Xenopus tropicalis: one gene and its partner. The protein of the gene in region 2 purifies or fractionates together with the protein of the main gene of each other region. This does not show direct contact. Links are inferred from orthologs where the notes say so. Each region holds a gene or a part of one and is shown on either strand. Other genes may lie near its edges.

Evidence for each region. The genes of interacting proteins can lie anywhere in the genome.
Region 1: the proteins of tepsin (region 2) and isca1 purify together in Homo sapiens (co-immunoprecipitation; 3 studies listed by BioGRID and IntAct, with this or other methods). This does not show direct contact. The link is inferred for Xenopus tropicalis from reciprocal best matches to the Homo sapiens genes TEPSIN and ISCA1.

Annotation. Positions count from the first base shown.
Region 1 is NC_030677.2:134,912,865-134,923,903, forward strand, and holds the start of isca1 (iron-sulfur cluster assembly 1 homolog, mitochondrial), read left to right. Parts: upstream 1-4,313; 5' UTR 4,314-4,467; coding exon 4,468-4,548; intron 4,549-4,634; exon of another isoform or gene 4,635-4,676; coding exon of another isoform or gene 4,677-4,733; intron 4,734-6,727; coding exon 6,728-6,781; intron 6,782-11,039. UniProt on the Homo sapiens protein: Involved in the maturation of mitochondrial 4Fe-4S proteins functioning late in the iron-sulfur cluster assembly pathway. Probably involved in the binding of an intermediate of Fe/S cluster assembly.
Region 2 is NC_030686.2:28,226,259-28,236,783, reverse strand, and holds the end of tepsin (AP-4 complex accessory subunit tepsin), read left to right. Parts: intron 1-460; coding exon 461-574; intron 575-2,521; coding exon 2,522-2,600; intron 2,601-3,891; coding exon 3,892-4,026; intron 4,027-4,825; coding exon 4,826-5,299; 3' UTR 5,300-7,124; downstream 7,125-10,525. UniProt on the Homo sapiens protein: Associates with the adapter-like complex 4 (AP-4) and may therefore play a role in vesicular trafficking of proteins at the trans-Golgi network.

The sequences.
Region 1 (11,039 bases), on a different chromosome or scaffold from region 2:
CCCCCAGTGACCAACTTTGCAAATTTTGGGGACTCAGGCATTCATTGTGAGGCTAAGAGCATTTTACACTTCACCATTGAAGTAAATAGGTGAAATGTTATTGGCTGTTGGTGGCTTTGCCCACTTTTTTCTAACTTTGAATGGCAAATACCCAGTGATTAACGCTGGAAACTTTAACAACCCTGGAATTAATATTTAAATAATGGCATCAGTTTAAATATAAACCAATGAAATCTAATGGGTGGAAATGGATTGGCTGTTGGTGGCTCCTCCCACTTGCTTGGGAACCCTGACATAAATAGTGTGAGCAAAGCAACATTTTAAATATAAACCAAAAAAATTCAATAGGTGAAGTCTGATTGGCTGTTGGTGGCCCCACCCACTTTTTAAAACCTAAAAATGGAGTTCCCTAGTGACCCTGGTGTTAATACTGTGAGAATGGCAGCAGGTTGAATTTCCCATTGAAAATCAATAGGTAAAATCTGATTGGCTGTTGTTGGCTCCACCCACTTTTTCTAACTCTGAACTGCAGTTACCGGGTGACTAGCTCGGCAAAGTTTGGAGACCTTAGTATTAATATTTAAAGAATGGCCACAGTTTAAATTTAAACATATTAAGTCTATAGGTGAAATCTAATTGGTTGTTGTTGGCCCCACCCACTTTTCTAAACTTGGAACATAGTCACCTAGTGACAAACTGTGCAAAGTTTGGGGACCCTGACATTAAACATGTGAGAAGGGCAGCAGTTAAAATTTTCCCACTGAAAACAATGAAAGAAATGTGATTGGCTTATGGCGGCCCCACTTTTTCTAACCTTGAGTACAAAGTCACGCAGTGACTGACTGTGCAAAGTTTGCGAAATCTGGCATCAAACCAATAAAATTCAATAGGTGAAATCTGACTGGCTGTTGGTGGCCCTGCCCACTTTTTCAAAACTAAAACTGTAGTCCCCTAGTGACCAACTGTGAAAAGTTGAAAAGTTTGGGGACCCTGGTGTTAGTACTGTGAGAATGGCAGCAGGTTGAATTTCCCCATTGAAAGTCAATAGGTAAACTCTGATTGGCTGTTGGTGGCTCCGCCCACTTTTCAAAACTAGAATTGCAGTCCCCTAGTGACCAACTGTGAAAAGTTTGGGGACCCTGGTGTTAATACTGTCAGAATGGCAGCAGATTGAATTTCCCCATTAAAAGTCAATAGGTAAACTCTGATTGGCTGTTGGTGGCTCCGCCCACTTTTTCTTACCTTGAACCACAGTTACCTGGTGCCTAACTCTGCAAAGTTTGGGGACCCCGGTGTTATTACTGTGAGAATGGCAGCAGGTTTGATTTCTGCCAAGTCAATAGGTAAAATCTGATTGGCTGTTCACATCTCCACCCACTTTTGGGCATCCAACAATCATCATATTTTCATTCAGGCTGAGCCCATGACGGTGTGATTCAAGTTTGGGGAGTGTAGCCTCAAAGCTGTAAGTTTGGCAGCAGTTTCAATTTCCCCATAAAAGTCAATGGGTACAATATGATTGGCTGCTGTTGGCCCCTCCCACTTTGCTGTTCTGTTTTTTTAGAAACCTGAATGCGTAGTCACCCAGTGCCTGACTGTGCAAAGTTTGGAAAATCTGGCATCAAACCAATAAAAATCAATAGGTGAAATTTGATTGGCTGTTGGTGGCTCCGCCCACTTTTCAAAATTTAAACTGCAGTCCCCTAGTGACCAAGTGTAAAAAGTTTGGGGATCCCAACGTTATTACTGTGAGAATGGCAGCAGGTTGAATTTACACCAAATCAATAGGTAAAATCTGATTGGTGGTTCACAGCTCCGCCCGCTTTTGGGCATCCAATAATCATCCTATTTTCATTCAGGCTGACCCCCTGACTATGTGATTCAAGTTTGGGGAGTGAAGCCTCAAAGCTGTAAGTGTGGCAGCAGTTTCAATTTCCCTATTAAAGTCAATGATTAAAATTTGATTGGCTGTTGTTGGCCCCTCCCACTTTGGGGTCATCCAACAAATGTTGCTGCTTCATTCGGGGTGATCCCATAATTATGTTATTCAAGTTTTGGGGGTGTAGCTTCAAAGCTGTAAGTGTGGCAGCAGTTTGAAAATCTTCCCTGTCAAAGTCAATGGGAAAATTGGGGGGTTCGGAGCGGCGCCACAAAAAGACGGGGGGCACAACCGCTTAGAAAAGCACAAGCAACCTGCTCCGCTATAGGGCGAAGAAGTGTGGGGAGTTTGGGTGTTGTACCCCTAAAACTGTAGGAGGAGTAGCGTTTAGAAAATGGGGGGCGCTAAGAATAAGAAGAAGAAGCGGGAGAATAAGCTAAAGTCGAAGAACAGTATGTTGGGGTTTTCAACCCAACATAATTAAATAAAAATAAGTGTAGTTGGCTTGAAGTATATTGCAATATATGGACAAATAATCTCTGTTTTGCTTAAAGGGGAGGGTATCTCTTGGTAGCTTAAGGCACAGAATGTCTTAATGTCCAAAAATAAAAAATGATTGGTGAACTTTGTATAAAATACTTACGAAAAAAGCTTTAGCTCCTAGTTGTTGCTCTGTGCTGCAACCAAATACAACTGCAAAAATCCAAAAAGTAGGAAAAAAACTTCAGCAGATTTACTGCAAACCATTTATTGTGGGTAGTGGTAACACGACACGTTTCGGGTCAATACCCTTTATCAAGTGTACAATAAATGGTTTGCAGTAAATCTGCTGAAGCTTTTTTCCTACTTTTTGGATTTTTGCAATGTCTTAATGCCCTATATATATGTATAATGGGTGAATGCAGAGGACCTCTTGTTGTGGTCTAGATGTATTTTGTGGTCACAGCCTTATTGTACCCCCACCTAATAGTTTTAAATGTAGTAGTTGAGCATAACTTACCCTTTATGAAGATTTTCATTCCTACAGATCATGATATACAGTATGTAAAGATACTCTAGATCAGGGGTGGGCAAACTACGGCCCGCGGGCCACATCCGGCCCGTTAGCCCTTTCAATCCGGCCCGCCGTCTCCGGCCCCCTTAAAAGAATGACGGGCCCTGATTGGTTGTGCCCAATCGTGCATGCCGTAATTTGTGATCTTTCAGGTGGAAAACACCTTGTGCATGCCGTAATTTGTGTATATACGATTCTTTTGTTATTCTAGTATCTTTCAGGTGGAAAACACCTTGTGCATGCCGTAATTTGTGTATATACGATAAAGATTCAGCACACTTCTTTTTCTCTTGTTTTGTTTTCTCTAACATATGTATATATGTGCACTCATTTGGAGTGGTTGAACTTGATTGACTTTTGTATTATTTTTTCAGCCCAATTTAATAATGTAAGTAATGCTACGTATGTAATGTATGTTTCAGAGGTGCAGCAGCTGCTAAAGAGAGGCAGAGAATAAGCAGTTGCTGAATTGTTACGTTAATGGATCTTAGGGCTGTGGCACACGGGGAGATTAGTCACAGCGCCAGGGTCCCCCCGCTAAACCCCCTCGCAGGGCCCCCCAACCAACGTCCTCCCACGTGCATGTAAATTTAACGCGTCAGGGGAGCAACAGTCGGGCAGGGGGAGCGCCGGCAAGGGCCGGGTCTGAGCTGCCGGTATTTTTCCCGGTGTCCCAGTCCGACCCTGCACTGCGCAACAAATCTCCCTTGTCGTGGGCGACTAATCTCCCCAAAATGCCATCCCACTGGCTAAAATGTAAATCGCTGGTGGGATGGCATATGCGGCGCCGCGGTCGCCAAATCGCCGCACCACCTATGCCATCCCAACAGCGATTTACGTTTTAGCCGGTGGGATGGTATTTTGGGAGATTAGTCGCCCGCGACAAGGGAGATTTGTGGCGCAGCGACTAATCTCCCCGTGTGCCACAGCCCTAAACTTCATTAACGTAACAGTTCAGCAACTGCTGATTCTCTGCCTCTCTTTGCCAGCTGCTGCACCTCTGAAACATACATACATTAGGGAACTTTCTGCTTGAGGAGGAAACCCCAGGGGGTGCAAATACCCCCCACCTATGTGTATCTCCACTAAAAGGTAAAAGACCATTAGAAGTCACACCAGACTGCTGTACACGTTATTTAAGGCTCTTGGGCACTGTAAAAAAAAGTCCTTGGGATTTCAACCTCCAACTGGACTGACCTTTTCTAAACATATACAAAACTACTACAGTAGCCTCTTAGCTACAAGACGGATAGTTATATTGCGCCTATGGGTACAGAGCACGTTTATCCTTGTAGACTTCTAATAGACTTTTACATTATCTTGTGTATATACTGCCTTTTAATTACTGATACTTTCTCCGCAGCTTCCCTAATTACTTCCATGCTCTAGGTCTGCACGACTCAGCACCAATAGAAACCCAGCAGAGTGGGAGGAGTCTGGCTGCTACTGAAAGCTTCTGCAGCTCCGGTGTGTGAGTACCTAGCTGTGCGTTGGGCCCTGCTCTTATGGGCAGGAGCGTGAGGAGAACACAAGCATGTCCGCCTCAGTAGTGAGAGCGACTATCAGGGCTGTAAGCAAGAGGAAGCTGCAGCCCACAAGAGCTGCCCTCACTCTGGTGAGTGACCGTTGTACGGTTCCAGTAAAGGCCGCTACTGCGTATAACTTAAGAGACTGTGGCGGAGGGTATTGGGCTGATAAAGGAAGGACGCACAGAACAGTACTAATGCGTGTGGGAATGCGTGTATGCTGTTTGAAAGAGAAACATGGTTTATGTGCGATGAGGCAGCGCTGATACAAACAGTAAGGCAATTGCTTATGTGCAAGGACGACAACTGTACGGGGACAAAAGCAAGGGCATTGAAAACAAGTTTGTTGATTGTCGCTTTAAACTACAATACCCGATAGACTTTGCGCGCTGCGTCACTCTTGGAGGCGGAAGTGATGTAAAACGTGCAATAAGTATTTTTTTGAGAGCCTATAAGCTCTGTGAGAGTTTAAAAAATAAAAAGATTGTGTAGCCTTTGGTACCAGATAGCCAACTCCTCATTTTTTATTGTATGCATATATTTATTTGTTTTAGCTGTTTGCTGGCTAGTGGTGACATGGCACAATGCTTGCAAAACTGCAGTTTTTGTTTATGTTGAGCATAGAGGGGGAGTTTGAACATGACATGCTTCTTTAATAGTGACAAAGACACTTTGTGTATGCATATTGGTATTTAATACAGAATAAATACAACAGAAATGTGGTAAAAACAAAGTTGCACAAATGCATTTTTCTCCTGCGATCTTAAAAGTGAAGAAATATGCTCAATTTATACAGATTTTAGTAGGTGACAGTCTATGTTGTTAACAGACAAAAAAACCTTATTTTTCAACTTAAAAAAATAAATAGTTCACAAAAAAAGATGATTAAACTAATCATGCTTTCTCGGTTACTAACATATTTATAGGAAAACTTGATCAAAATGGCTTCTAAGTTGATTGTACAGCTCAGTTTGACTTATATAGACTACCTTATACCACAGACTGAATGGAAACCATGATAGTCCAGGCCAGAACTCCCCTCCCCCAATAATTTCATAGACTGATACAAACTTTTTCACCTTGTCCAGGAGCTGCCTGGAAGGATGTCAAGAGAGTTGGGAGAGATCTGCAGCCTGAGCCCTATAAATCTATGATAATGATATTTATCCAAAATCCACCTATAATATTAACATTGTTGTATGCTATATATGCTCCTAAATGTGTTGAGAAATTCCATGTTTAATGTAAAATGTGTTATTGTTACTTTAAAGGAGACATATTGGACACATGGGAAAAACACTCATTTTGTTGGCAATTATGAATAATATATGGTGCTAGTTTCACTTTGTGCTAAAAATTAATCTTAACTGTAAAAATGGCCTTTCTATTAGAGCTCCCTATAGATCCTATCAGTTCTATGTCCGTGTTTGAAATGAAAGGTGGGCATGTCCTAATGGTCCCAGCCAGAAGCATAATAGGAATCAATCACAGCCCTGCAGTCACACAAGCAAAGACAGGCTTCAGTTCCCTATCAGGTCAGCCTAGCTGCTGATTGGATCCTATCCTACAGTGCAGTCTACTCAGAGCTGCTGGCTCCCCTGCACATCCAGAGAATTTAGCCAGCAGGACGTGGCACAGGTGGGGGGACTACTGGGGTTTAGTGGAATTTCTCAATAAATAAGTCTGAAACACAACGATTTTTAAGCACAATCCTTCTATATCTAGAGTAGTATAATTCACTGGTACATTCATAATTTTTATATTTTATGTCTCCTTTAAAGGGATTCTGTCATGATTTTTATGGTATACTTTTTTATTTCTATATTATACTGTTTACATAGCAAATAATTTCACTGCCATTTAAAATTTTATTCTTGAACCAACAAATGCATTTTTAGTTGTGATATTGGTGTGTAGGCGTCATCTCAGTGCATTGTTCCTCAGTCTGAGCTTTCAGAAAGAGCCAGTACTACACATTAGAACTGCTTTCAGGTAACCTATTGTTTTTTTTCCTACTCCCATGTAACTGGAGGAGTCCTAAGCTGGACTTGGATTTCTTACCTTTCTTCACCCTAAGAAATGTAGAGTATAACTAGCTCCATGTGAAATTTCAAAATTAAATATAATATAAAAAGATCTGTTTGCATTTTTAACAAACAGATTTCAATGCAGGGTTTTTCTGGAGAAGCTCTATTAACTGACGTGTTTTGAAGACAACTTGCTTGCAACAAGCTTTTGTTTAAATGCATTTTTTCCGTTTATTTTTAGACCCCAGCTGCTGTCAATAAGGTTAAAAAGTTACTTCAAGATAAACCTGACAATGTAAGTATAGTGGCTTACTTTACCAATGTCTGTCATATCTGTTGTTGGAGTGTTTGTGCCCTTTTGTCACATTTTAGATCACAGTCTTTTACAAAAGAAATGCTGGAGGCTGAGGGCACACAGTGTTTTCTCCGCTGCTCTGAGCCTGGGTTTTTTTGCAGGCTGAGAGAAGCAGATCCATTTTCTTGTTGACCAGTACAGCTTTTGCCTCTGCTCGGCTACACAAAATATTGGAAAAGGCAGATGTTTGAAAGTGTTTTGCATCTTTGCTTGTGGCTTAGCAGTGACATTAAAGGACAAGGAAATCCACAAGTCAGGGTAGCGCTTCTTTTCAAGTAAAACCTGCAGTGGCCAGTGCCACTCTGTCATCTCACCAGGCTTTCTCAGTAACTTTAGCCTTATCCCTTTAGTGAAATTGGATTTTCTAGATCTTTAATGCCTTTAGCTGGCAGAAAAAAACAACAAAAGAAAGATGCATGTTAGAAGATAAACAAATTGTTACAAAGGTTTTTAGAACAGCTTATCACATTTTAATTTTTAATCTTGTCATCCCACTATATCCCTTTTCCAAGCCATTGTGTCTTATTAAAGGCCATGTGGGCTGTATGCACGGGGAAAAACCCTGATCTGCTGACTTCTGCCTCACAAAGCACGTATAGGCATGGCATTGGCCAGTATACATTGTGTATACAAAGTATACATTGCGAAAAAGAAAATTTTATATAATATAGGCTTCATCATACTAAAATAAGACATTTTCTAAATATAATCAGTTACAAATTCTTACCTGTTTCTGAAATAATAACATTGCTGTTTACTCTTTCCTTATCAGCATCTCTCTTTCTAAATTCTCTACTCAAGCAGGAGCTAGGAGTCTGATTTTGAATAACAGTTAGGTCTAATATAGCCTTTGGGGGTATTCCTTTTGCCTAGAACAGGGCTGTCCAACTGGTGCCCCCCCCCCCCCCCCCCCCCCACCTGTCTGGCTGCTGTGACTACTTACCTTTGTGTAAGCTTTAAATTGTATCAGTACTGAGATTAACTGGCCCCCTGTTCACACCTCAGATTCAGGCTGTAAACCCATGTATTGTTTAAACACGTAATCCCCTGTCCTTTTACACCTTTTAATCCCTGCATTTTTCACCCCCTGCTTTGTTCACGCCTAAAAACTGGCTTCCATTATCGGTCCTGCACCGTGTAGACCAGAAAAGTTCTGGCCCTCGTTACCACAGAAGTTGGACAGCACTGGCCTAGAAGATGTGTTGGCTCACTCATTTAAAATAACCAGAAATCCTGTCTACAGGCAGGATCTGTGCCAAAGTTGGTTATTTTGTTTTTGTTGGAATCAGTTATTTGTGTGAGCTCTAATACATCTGCTAGGCCTAGCCCTCCTAAAAGATACATTGGATCTGTCAATCAAAATCTAACACCCAACTTGTGCATGGAGAGGCAATGATGAGAAACAGATTGAGAGAGGCCTAGTTAAAATAAACTTAATTCAGACACCGTACAGAATTTTTAACTGATTATATTTAGAAAGTTTCTTATTTCAGTAAGATGAAGCTTATATTAAATTTTCATTTTTGTGATTGTCACCCTTTAAATAATATGCTCCACAAACATTATATCCATAGGTGTGCAAGATGAATGGTACACTGCTGCACATGATCTTGGCTCTGTAAGGAACTGAAACATTATTGTAGTGGAGTATTGGCTTAGTAACTAAATATATTGTACAGGAGCAATTAAACCAAAATGCAAAGGCTAGCTTTGTTTATAAGTACGAGGAGAATGCCATATCGCAAAAATAACCATTTCAATTAATGTAAAAAAAAAATAGCCCTCCACTAGTGATTTCTTAAAAGGTAATGGATAAATCTGTTCCTCAGTTCTTCTCATACCCTAAATTATGTTAAGAGATTTCATTACATGGCAGCAAATATGAAACTACTGTAAATGGCCAGTTCTGCTTTTTACCACTTCCTTAATGATTTGTAAATACCTTTACCTAGTAAACTGAAATTAGGCATGCTGATCTTTCTACTGTATTTATTTTCTATCTCTTTTCTGTCTTGAAATATTTTACTTTTTTTGCAGTCCCTTTTCAGGGATTGTTTTATTGTTTATTGTTATATCCTTAAGTACCCTGTGAACGTGTTCTCAAATGTAAACAAAAAAAGATAAAAAGTTTCATATGATTGGAATTCTTTATTGCAGTACAGGTATGGGATCCCTTATCCGGAAACCCATTATCCAGAAAGCTCCGAATTACGGAATGCCCGTGTCCCATAGACTCCATTTTAATCAAATAATTCAGAATTTTGGATTTCCTTTTCCTCTGTTGCAATAAAACAGTACCTTGTAATTGATCCCAACTAAGATATAAATAATCCTTATTGGATGCAAAACAATCCCATGTGGTTGAATTAAGGTTTTCTTGATTCTTTAGTAGACTTAAGGTATGGAGATCCAAATTACAGAAAGACCCCTTATCCGGAATACCCTTGGTCCCGAGCATTCTGGATAATGGGTCTGATACCTGTATATAAAAATAAGGTAATATATAATATCAGTTTTTTTTTTTAGTACACCCAAGCAGATAGCTGTCTTCATCCCCATTATATATAATCTATAATGTGTCTGACACACTTAGACAATGAATTATATTCTTTTAAGCATAATTTGATATTTACTTGCTCCTTCTGTTGCAGTGCTGAAAATGCATATTTTACTTAATGTAATTAAATATATGAGCAGATTAGGGCTTAGAGCTGCACAGGTAACAGAAAAAAATAAATAAAAAGAATATAGTGCAGTGTATTAAATCAAACTATCAATTAAAAAAAAAAGTATTAAAGTGCAGAGAGGGGAAATTGAGAAATGTGCCACTTGTATAGGTTTATGTGCAAAATGTAAAGCATGGCTTGTAAGTAACCTGGGCAGCTGTAAGAAGTGGTAAAGGTCTTTGGTAGAAATATTGGATCATTGCATAGAAATATTGGATCATTGCATGCCTTCCAGCTGTTTTTGTATGCAGTTGAAAGGAACATAGATGTTTATTATAAACATAGCCACTATTGTGCACTTTGAAGATTTTATCCCTGTATATGTAGCATTATTGAAGATTTGTCTCCTGTATTTACAAATTGAACCATTTTATAGATTCTAATTGCTGATTATTTGGTATTTTTATAAATGTATTTCATACTTGTAAGCAACTGAATGTTTTGCAGGTGCACTTTGATTTGATATTTTGAAATAGTCTTTTCCAATTAAGAATCTATATGAACTGGTCCATACTGTTTGGTTAAAAGGGCAGCATACCCTCTTTTTCAACCTTAGTTCCATGAATTGAGCTTGTGCTGGACATACTTTTTGCCTATTGTTTTTACTAAGAAATATGTGTGTTTTTGTTATTTGTTGTATTAACTCTTTTACTGCCAACGACGTATGGGATACGTCATGGCAGTAAAAGGGCTTAACTGCCAACGACGTGTCCCATACGTCGTTGGCATTTAAGCACTGCTCTCTGCAGCGGCGGCATGTGCCGCCGCTGCAGAGAGCTTCTATCCATGACAGCCCCCCTGGGCAATGTGCCAGGGGGGCTGTCATGAGGGTCCTGCGAGCCGATCGCTCGCAGGACCCTCCAGGAAGCAGCAGACGCGATCGCGTTTATGCATACTTCATGTTTCGGTTTGGGTGAACCTTTTATAAGTGTCTTAGCCTTGTGTATTTGTGGCAGAGCAGTCTTGCTTACTGAATGGAGAAATTATTGCTTATGCCTAAAGGTTACAAATGTTTCTCTGGTGTGAAAATAAGATGTTTATATTTCATTTGTTTCTGTCATCTTGCTTAATGGGCTTTAAAGAACAAGGAAAGCATGTACCCCAAGTCTGCAGTATGTTTATAGCAAGCCCATTGCTGTACCTGATTGCTGAATTATTTTTTGCAAATTGAACTTATTACTCCTGCTGTTAGCTCAGATAAGATCGCTAATTCAAACTCAGTCGTGGCCACGGGTTGAAGGAGGCCGAGCAAAACACACACCGATCGCCTCAGAGAAGTACTAATTTATAAGCACTAGGTGATCGTGTGTATATATCCTGCTCTGTTTGTGTCTCCCCATAGTAACTGTGCTGTTGGTAAGCCCTTTCTAGGGGGAGGGCTTTACAGGGCGAGTCTTAGGGGCTGATTTACTAAGACATGAATTCGAATCCGAATTGGAAAAATTCAGATTGGAAAACGAACATTTTGGCGC
Region 2 (10,525 bases):
TATAGTCACTTGCACAGAGCTTTCCTTACCTCACAGGTATATTCACTTGCACAGAGCTTTCCTTACCTCACAGGTATATTCACTTGCACAGAGCTTTCCTTACCTCACCGTTATATCCACTTGCACAGAGCTTTCCTTACCTCACCGTTATATCCACTTGCACAGAGCTTCCCAAGTGTCACAAGTTAATTTATATTCACAGAGATTTTCCACAGATAATGCCAGATGTACAAAAGAACAGGGTGCCCTTTCTTGCCAAGAAACCACCCAGCATTACAGAAAAAATGCTACATTAAATCTTTTTAATGCACTTAGTACATTCATACGTTAAATTAAAACATTTGCTTTGCTGTGGACCTCACTGGGACCATAATGTGTGTCATTTGCTCCCTTCAGAGGACACCGATTATCCGGTATGTCTATTGAATGCCTAATGTGTGCTTGTATTGTGACATTTTAGGGTGGAATCCACTCAATTGAGTGACTGTCAGCAAGAGGCAAGATTGGTCCAGGAAGTAACTCAGGGGAAAAGAGTTTTTCTCACTCAGGAGGAAAGTCAGCAGTTTGTGAGAGGGTGAGTATAAATATAATTTAAACAAAAGAGAAGAAAAGGCTCAAAGAGCCAAGCCTGCTTAATTTCTCCAAAATCAACAAATGAACAGGTAACCATTAAACAAGTAGACATACGAAAAGGAATAGATTAAATAAGTATAGATAAGTCAATCTGCAGGATTAATCTGCCTATGATTAAGTGCACTAACGCACGAAACGCGTCAGGCACCTGTTTGTTTTTAATGTGATGAAATAAAGACCAATTTTTAGCAGACCTTGGAAGTCCGGAGTGCTTGATGTCCTACTTCAACTATGAGTATAAATATAAGTGTAGATGCAAAATGTACATGGTCAACCGGGCCTTCTGGTGTCTACTATTTTATATTTTTAATTCTCATATGCAATTTTCATTTTCTCCTCAGCATACATCTGTTTTATTCCAGGGATTTGGAAAACTATTACTAATATATGAGACTATTGAAATGTAAAAGATACCTGAAACATTCTAAGGCTAATGTCCTACGGAGCGAGTTAGTCACCCGCAATAGATCCCTGCTACCACGGGTGACTAACCGCTCTGAAATGCTTTTCCACTGGCAACAATAGGAGTCGCTGGTGGAAAGGCCTACACATCGCTTTGGCTTTTTCAGTCATGCAAAGTTGCCTGCAGGAGGAAACTTCACGCGACTTTGGAATGCCTTAGAGATATGCACTGTATGTACCATTTCTCAGAACAATTCAATAGACCAGGACTGTCCAACTGGAGGCCCTTGGGCCGGATGTGGCCCTCCATTCTGTTTAGAGACTCAATGGACACTATATGACATCATCATTTTAACTTAATCTGGCCCTCTAGCATGCTATATTCAATATAATTGCCCCCTACATGTAATAAGTTGGACAACACTGTAATAGACATGTATGATCATCTGTGTACTCTGAAGAGAAAAAATGATACACTTTTTGGTCCCAGTGAGTGAGCAAAGCCACTCGGAGCTGAGGACAAAGGCCGACAGAATACCCCAATTAATATTATTCTCTCCTACCCCCAGACAGGGTATTGCAATGTCAGGGCCCCCTCTACTTCAGACATTCCTATCTACATATACAAAAGGGAAAATACATAGAAGATGAGCTCAAAACCAGGAATAGTAAAGCATATGTATTAACAATATTTTATACTCTAAAAAATCCTTAGAAGCACAAGCACTAAGCATCCAGCTTCACTTTTGTTTTTGTTTCTAACACTGCTTTGTATTGTATCGGCTTCTGAATAGCTTTAGCAATACTGTAGGCTGTGACATTTTAGTGACTAACACTTGTATAACTTGTACAGGAAACTGGACTCTGCAGTAGTAATAATGGTGGGAAGGCTGAAAAGAATAGTATGCTACACATATGCAGATTCTGATGGACTTGGGGAGCACCCTGACCAGACCAAAAGAGCCATAAAATAAAATGAAAGACTTTATCCCTTGTACAGGTGGTCGTACACGGGCCGATAAAATCTGCCAAAGGTTTAAGTCGGCAACTTATCGGCCCATGTATGGGGCCATCAGACAGGCTAATATCTAGTTTATCAGTCAGATGTAAAAATCCCATTAGGGTGAACAGCACATTGGCATGTTGATGCGGTCCTTGTTCCGACAGCCTGCATCCAATCAATGTGATCCAATTGCTGAACGGTCAGATCAATCTGATATTGCCTGCCACAGGTGGGCATATAGGGTAGTGGATCTTTCCATGTATAGCTAACTCAGATATTCAGTTGGATTTATTTTTTCCTGCTATGGAAAGTGCCATTTTTGGCCTTGTTCGACCTTGCCCGCAATCACTTCATACCTTAAATCCCTATTGGCTTCTTATAATTCCTCTAGAACAAATAGGTGAAGTAATGTGTCTGTGCTTATCGATGCTTGTTGTCTTCTGTTAGGCTTTGTGTCTTACATGATTACAATCTCTGTTCCAGATGTTCCCTGTTGAATTGTGAAGTGGTGTTTGAGATGTTAAACTGCTCACTAATGGATGACAACAACTGCGTCAAATTGGTATGTCTTTGACCACGTGGGCTTCTCACTCACTTCTCCATGTCTTGCTGCAGCCAGTGTTCACTCTAAGCGAAGTTGTAACAAAAGGGGGCGCAACAGCTGTGGAATCCACAATTTGTTCACAAGTAATTCTGTTCTTTCTTGAATCCATCTACTGGAGCTCACCATGTTAAAAACAATGCATGAGGCCTTTTGGCCTCCAATATACTCCCTTCTGGCTACGAGAAGTAATACTGGGATGATGAGATGAGTTTCCCCCTCAACCACCTAAACCTAATCCCAATAGGTCCAACTACAGATCGGAACTCAGCCAAAGTAACTGCACCTGCCCCATATACTACATGCCACAGTGTTTCTGTTAAGGCTCCCCTCATAGACTTTGTTATACTTACCTGTGTTTTCCTTCTTTTTCCTATACTCTTATATAAGTTGTAAAAAAAAACTTGTTCTTATCTGTTTCTTTGACTGCAATTGATACCAATTTGAAACTTGGACATTGTCAGTGACATTTCATGTACCACAGAGAAAGGAGATTAATATGCTGTGATACAGTATATTTCCAATCTTTCCTTTTAAAGGAGAACTAAATACTAAAAATGAATATGGATAGAAATGTCATATTTTATATACTGAACAAGCTTAAAAGGTCCACATCTCTATAGTAGTAATAAACCAGTCCTTTAAAGTTGTCACAGGGGGTCACAATACGGAAATCTCTTAGAAGTGTCTGTGGCACTCACATGCTCAGTGGGCTCTGGGCAGCTGTTGAAAAGCTAAGCTTAGGGATTGTCACAAAATATCAAGAAGAAAATTGGGTTTGTCTGTCATAAAGGTTGGAGTTGCACTGGTTCAGAGCTGCCAAGTACTAATTATCTGTATTATTTCCTGATCAGCTTTATATTGTGACATTTATATTCTATATAAACAGTATATTGTGAGTCACTCCCTAAGCTCAGGTAAGTGCCAGCAGCACAGCGCATGTGCAGTGAATCAGCAGAAAAGAAGATGGGGAGCTACTGGGGCATCTTTGGAGGCACAGATATTCCCTGCTAAAGGGCTGTGGGTGCCTTGGGCTGGTACAGAAGCCCAAAACATAATGTACAACATTTCTACCCTACTTCTTTAGTTAGGCTTTAGTTCTTCTTTTAATATTATGTGGCTTATTACAGTATTTGCCCCCATCCAAGCTTCTGGAGAAGGCTGATTCACTAGCTCTACTAATACAAATGCAGAATGCATGAGTATTACAGATTATATATAGCCAGTTCTTAACAGTGTTTTCTACTTGCAGCGCTCCATGTGTGCAGTATCCTCCCTCATGGCCTCTGACCTCCTCTCACATGAACACATGCTAGCTGTTGTGAGGAAAAACTTGCAAAAATTAAGAGAAGGACCTCCAGGACCAGTGAAGAACAAGGCCACCAAGGTGAGGAGATAGCATGCTGTTGCCTTATTTGGTGACACTGTTGATGATTTCCCTTTTATATAGAAAAAAAAAATAATGGCAAATAATATATCAGTAGGGGACACAGGGTAAATTAGTGCTGGATGTGTTGTGCCAAGACAGATTACCTCTGCTGGCAGTAAAATAGCGACCATTCCATCCAAAGCTATTCTGCAGGTAGATGTATAAATTATGCTTGCATGCTTCATTGGAACAGTTTACCATGAACCTCTCGTCTGACAGTTGCCATCTGTACACTGACCACCTGTCCATAATATTCCTTTAGACATTACAAGATACACTTCATATGTTTAAGTTCATTTAAAGGAGAAGGAAAGTCATTTTGGCATTTTACTACCAATATATTTGCCACCTAGAACACTATATATATTCTGCAAATAGCTTTGCCTTACCTGAGTAAAGAGCCCTAGAAGCTCTCTACGTTTGTTTAAGATTGCAGCTGCCATTTTAGCTTGGTCCTCATAGCTTCCTGCTGTAGCTCTTGCCCTTATAGCTCAGATTACACATTTCTAAGGGTGGGGGGAGTGAGTTTTATGAATTCTTATGGGAGGGGGGAACAGGAGAGGAGAGAGCTACGCAGACTCTGGACCTGGGAATTAAGGATTTTTCTGAGAGAGGAAGTCTGATACAGAAAAACATACATGGCTGTATTTACATAGACCTTTCTGATAAAGATTAATTAGTTTTTACCTTTCCTTCTTCTTTAATACCTGTTTATAATGCAGAGTTCCAATATAACAAAACTTGATTTTTTGGTTAGATTCTGCTTCAGTTTCAAGCACTTACTCAGAATGTTTCTGAAAGAGGATCTTCGCACCATGGGACTGTGGCTTCTCCCAACACACGATGCCCCTTGGATGTACTCACCGATTTTATTCCTCATTCTGTGGGGGGTGGTTTACTGACACCACTAAGTGTACCCTCATCACCTACTTTAAATGTCCAGAACACTGTCTGTTCTCTACCGAATGGGGCTGAAAACCAGAAAGATCACAATGGGAGCTCTGAGAAAAGTGATCCAGTTGAAAAAACAAGGGAGCTAGAATGTGAGGAGACTGGTAATCACAAAAGCACAAGCATACACGTGTCTCTGTTTGAAGGCATGGAACTGGTAGGACCAATACGATGCAGTCACAATGAAGCTACCGGATCACAAGAACTTCCTGTTGAACTTGTAAAAGAAGAACCATCTAAGCCGACCCTGCCCTCTGTGTTTTCATTTCTAAACACTTGATGCAACTTGTGACCTTCACCAGGTGGGCTTGCCCCAAGCACTGACAGAGACTGACTGACAAGCATGAGAGCAAGAGAATACAGAATGTTTTCTGTGTAAATAAATATCTTCATCGGGAGTTGCACAAAGACAAAAATCAAGTCATGTGATCAATTAAAAGACCTGTAATGGCATTTTTTTATATGTAGGCCCTTGGCACAGGACATATTATCCACCAGAAGAAGTGTCTGAATATGGCCGGCAAGTGTCTCTTACTAGAATAGAATTGCATTCATTTAAATGACAGGTTGCAAGCCATTTTTTAGGGGCTTTTTCCCAGTGGAGAATATGCACAATGTGCCATGGGACTTAAAGGAACAGTGACACTAAAAAGTTATAGGTGAAAAAATTCACTCTCCTCCAATAACACTTCTATTCTGGGCAAAGTTAATTATCTTTAATGTTTTATACATAAATAATGCGATAATCCTGTGTTTTTAAAAGGGCTATGTGGCAACATGCACTTCCGTGCGCGCTCCAATCTCCTGCTAGCCGACATTATTTTTGAAACCGGAACGCAGTTGTTCCAGCTTCTAAGAGAATTATCAACCTGCTCTGTTCCACCTTTGCGTCAGTGTGATTTATTTCACTAAAAATTTGGAGCAGTGAAGGAAGGAGGATGAGCGTGCTGACTTGTTGGGGTCTTCTCTGGCTGGCCTGGCTGCTGCCTTTACTATTCGCTGCTCTTGGGTTCACAGCCCACGGGGAGATTAGTTGCCCACAATTAATCTCATTTACCGCAAGCGACTAATCTCCTTAAAAGGCATAAGTTGCGCTTAGTTTTCCAAAGTTGCACGAAGTTGCCTTCAGGAGGAATATCAGGGAATTTAGTTGCCCTTGGTAGCGGAGACTTAACCGCAGGCGACTAATCTCCCCATAGGACATAGGTCTTATGACACTGAGGAAATAATACTAGCCATACACCCTGTCTCCCCAAACTTCAATGTGGCATGAATTCAAATAAGAAGGGAGAACATGGCAGGCTGAAAATCCTCAGTGAACCCGGAGCAGCTAACTTTCTGTTTTATAAAGAAAGTCGGCTAGCATAAGATTGGAGCCCGCAAGTAAGTGCATGTCGCCACATTAACCTTTTTAAAACACGGTACACAGCCGGAAGATGCATTTTATCACATGATTTAAGTATAACTTTAAAGATATTTAACTTTGTCCTGGATGGAAGTGTTAGTGGAGGGGAGTAGAATGGATTTTTGACTTTTAGTGTTACTGTTTCTTTAAAGTTTGCTTATGTACATCCAGTACTTGCAAGTAAACTAGTTTGCAAGAGAAAAGTTTTCATTCTATGGTCCTGTGGTAATCCATGAATGTCATTAGACCCCTGTATATCTCCTATTGTATTCTACATACTGTATCTATTATCTGTTATGTAAATGTGGGCTCTAAAAGCCCAGTTTTGACTTGAAAATCCCAGCAGCATATTTATATAAACTATACTGAAGCCTCTGAAGCAAACACAGTTTGTTCCAGTGCAAGGTAATAGTAAATTGTATTTAATTTGTGTATATGTTATCTTTGATGTTACTGGCCCTTCAGCATGAATGACTGGATTGCTTGGAAATCAGGCCACCTTGTCTGTGATTTGCTATAACACACTAAAGAAATGGGTGAAATAACCAACGCATATCACAAAACATAACTCAGGTTCTGTCAGTAGGTGGAACCCTTTATATTTACATTTGCTAATGCTAAAACAATAACACTGATCTAAAGTATTATCTACTGTACAGCGCTGCATACATAAGTAGCACTTTATAAATAAAGATATACATACATTTGCAACCATTGTCTTTTAAGGGCAATGACACATGGTGCCACTTGTAGCAGCTACAAATGCCAGAAAATACTCTGCCATAGACAATACTGAGAATAGTCTCTGCTAAAACACACGTAGAGACAACTATCAGTATTGTCTATTTTGTAGCTGGCTACAGGTAGCTCCGTGTCAATGCCCTTACAGTTGTATTGCAACCCCCATTTGTTGGATGAGCAGATCTCAAGGGAACTGGGAATCCTAACACTTTTAGGGCTCTGGCACACGTGGAGATTAGTCGCCCGCGAACAGGGAGTTTTGTCGCGGGCAACTAATCTCCCCGTGTGCCAGAGCCCTTAGGTCAGATGTTTACAAATCCTCTAAGTGATGTTTAGGCAGTTGATCCCATGCAAGTGAATCTACTTGTCCACACTACTCTCTGTATGGCCAGCTAAAGAGTTGCTACTGCCAAATTGCCTATTCTTTTGAAATGTTAAGGTGCAATTCTGTTTAGGTTTAAAATGATTCACATCTATGTATTTGTAAATGTTTCAGCAATAATATACTACAAAAGTATTAATAGAAGTAAAAAGTACAAGTGTATAGATATTATTTTTAATAGTAATGAATTTTTACAGTGCTCCCTTTTGGTTTTGGCCTATTATTTCCCACTGAGTTGCTGTAAAATGCCAAGTAACTTACTAGTCAGAATACTTCTCACATGTATTATTAATGGTGGTTGGTGCAAAATAAACGTACTACATTTGAGGGTTTAGCTTATTGCTGTTGAGTAGGAACTGGATTTGGACATTCTTTATGCTCTAAAAGCAACACCAGCCTATATGTCATGCAAATCTGGCCTTTAAGAAAAACTCTCACACTTGTGCCAGTGCAACAGTACCGACCTGCTCTTTGGTTTCTACAAATCTATATTATAAAGTTTGTCTTTATCATTTTAAAGGAACAGTAACGCATAAAAGCAATTATTTTAAACTGATATACCCAGTACATATCTGGCCTAAGGCACCCAAGCTGTGTGACAGCTGCTCTGCAGAGTTCCAGAGCGATCCCCACCCAGTATCTTTTCTAGCATTTCCATTAGTTTAAATGAGAAGCAAGTGCTGGCAGGCAATCAGAGTTCTGCCTGAGAACACTATAATCATAGTTTGTGTACTATATCCATATACAGACGGAAAGAATCCCTTGTTTTATAGTAGGGTATGTATTCCCTATAATATGATCCTGCTGTATATTTACACAAATGATACAAAAATTGAAATAAATAAATATATATAGTATTAACCCTAAGCCACTCCAACCGTATCCACAGTTAATTATATCAAGTACAGTGAAACCTCAATTTACATCCCCTGATTTTAAGTTTTCCTGCATTTTACACTATTGTTTTGTGGTCCTACTAATATATAACACACAATAAACTTCCCTGGTTTTATATTTTCACGGATTTTGCACCATTTTTTTTCTGGTCTCCTGAAAAAACTTGGGGGTTCTACTGTATGTCACAGCATATATTTGTCTTTCTGACTAACAACTGATCTTGTCAGCATTGCATGGAGGCTTTCTCCGGATAATAGTCAAAAGTTATTGGCCTGTGAATGACTTACTGGTGAACGTTTCTGGATGAAAAGCTCTCACTCCTGCAATTTTACCATCTTCCCATTCAAGTCAGTGGAAGCCCTATGAAAAGTGCTGAATGTGCTTTTTTTGCTTAATGAAATCTCACATTCACAAAAAAATGACTTTGTTTTTTTTTAATACTAATTATAATACATATTATAATTATTATTGTTTAAAACAAATTGAATTCATTTTCTCTGCTTTCACATTTCCAAGTGTCAGTTTGGGAAGGCAAGTAGCTGACTTTCTAAGCTTTAATAAGTAGCCATCAGGATGTAACACTGTGGGGCAAAATCAGAAGGTCACAGGAATTAATTGTGCATAATCGAAACCACTGCAATGATTCTCTGTAGCCGACCTTAGGAAATTCATGGGCTACACACATTAAACTTGTGTTAAATTACAAAGACATGATCTAGATAATGTTTGTGAATCACAGCTTTACATGCATTTTCAAGCCATTTGAGAACTCTGAAAGCATTGTGATTTTCAGTTTTTATAAGTTTGTTGTTAAAAATCTAAAAAAACGGTGCTGCGCAACTTGCGGCCCGCAGCCCTCTCCTGTGTTCCCCCCCCACCTGCCTGGCTGCTGTGATTGCTTAACTTTGTGTAAACTGAGATTAACTGCTCCCCCCCTGCATTGTTTACACCTCAGTTTAAGGCTTTAAACCCCTGTATTGTTAACACCTTTAAGCCCCTGCATTGTTCACCCATCCCCCTGCATTGTTCACACCTCAGGCTCAGACTGTAAGTGCCCACATTGTTTACCTGTTAACACCTACAGACTGTAGGGGCAGTGCCAGCATTGTGTCAGTGTTTGTACTGCCTGCCCTATACTGCCTGTGTGTGCTGTACTCTAACTGCCCTATGCTGCCTGTGTGTGCCATACTCTGCCTGCCCTATGCTGCCTGTGTGTGCCATACTCTGCCTGCCCTATGCTGCCAGTGCGTTCTGTACTCTGCCTGCCCTATGCTGCCAGTGTGTTCTGTACTCTGCCTGCCCTATGCTGTGTGTGCCGTACTCTGCCTCCCCTGTGCTGCGTGTGTGCCATACTCTGCCTGCCCTATGCTGCCTGTGTGTGCTGTAATCTGCCTCCCCTGTGCTGTGTGTGTGCCATACTCTGTCAGCCCTATGCTGCCTGTGTGTGCCATACTCTGTCGGCCCTATGCTGCGTGTGTGCCATACTCTGCCGGCCCTATGCTGCATGTGTGCCATACTCTGCCTGCCCTATGCTGCCTGTGGAAGGTGAAACTAGGAGGGTTTTTTTCTGGGAGTTTGTTAGCATTTGGAAATAGTCATTATATGGTCCCTAAGGTGTGTAATTATGTTGCTGTGCTATTCACAGGGGAGGCATATGGATTTAAGAGTGTGTCTTAATATGACATAATAAACTTCTTTGACATATGAATGAAGGGTGATATCCCTACAGTGAGCTCCAACCATTTGGGTTTTGCTGCGCTACTACCATTAATATAGGCATGGTCTTAAAACTCCAGCCCTCAGTACCATAGAAGTTGGACAACACTGCCCATAAATAAAGCAACTGTTTAATATTGTCTTCATTTTTTATTTTACATTTATTGTGTATTATTAGCTTTCTAGTCTAGCTTTTTTCAACGGCAAAAGAGATGTCACTGGCGTGTGTGACTACACTTTCATCTGCAGCGCTGCACAGATACCCCCCAACTCTGCCTCTGGATTTTGTACAAGACTTTTTTCATGAAAGACTTTATTTTCCCAAAAAAAGTTTTATTTACCATATAGGCATCCGAGGGCTGCTC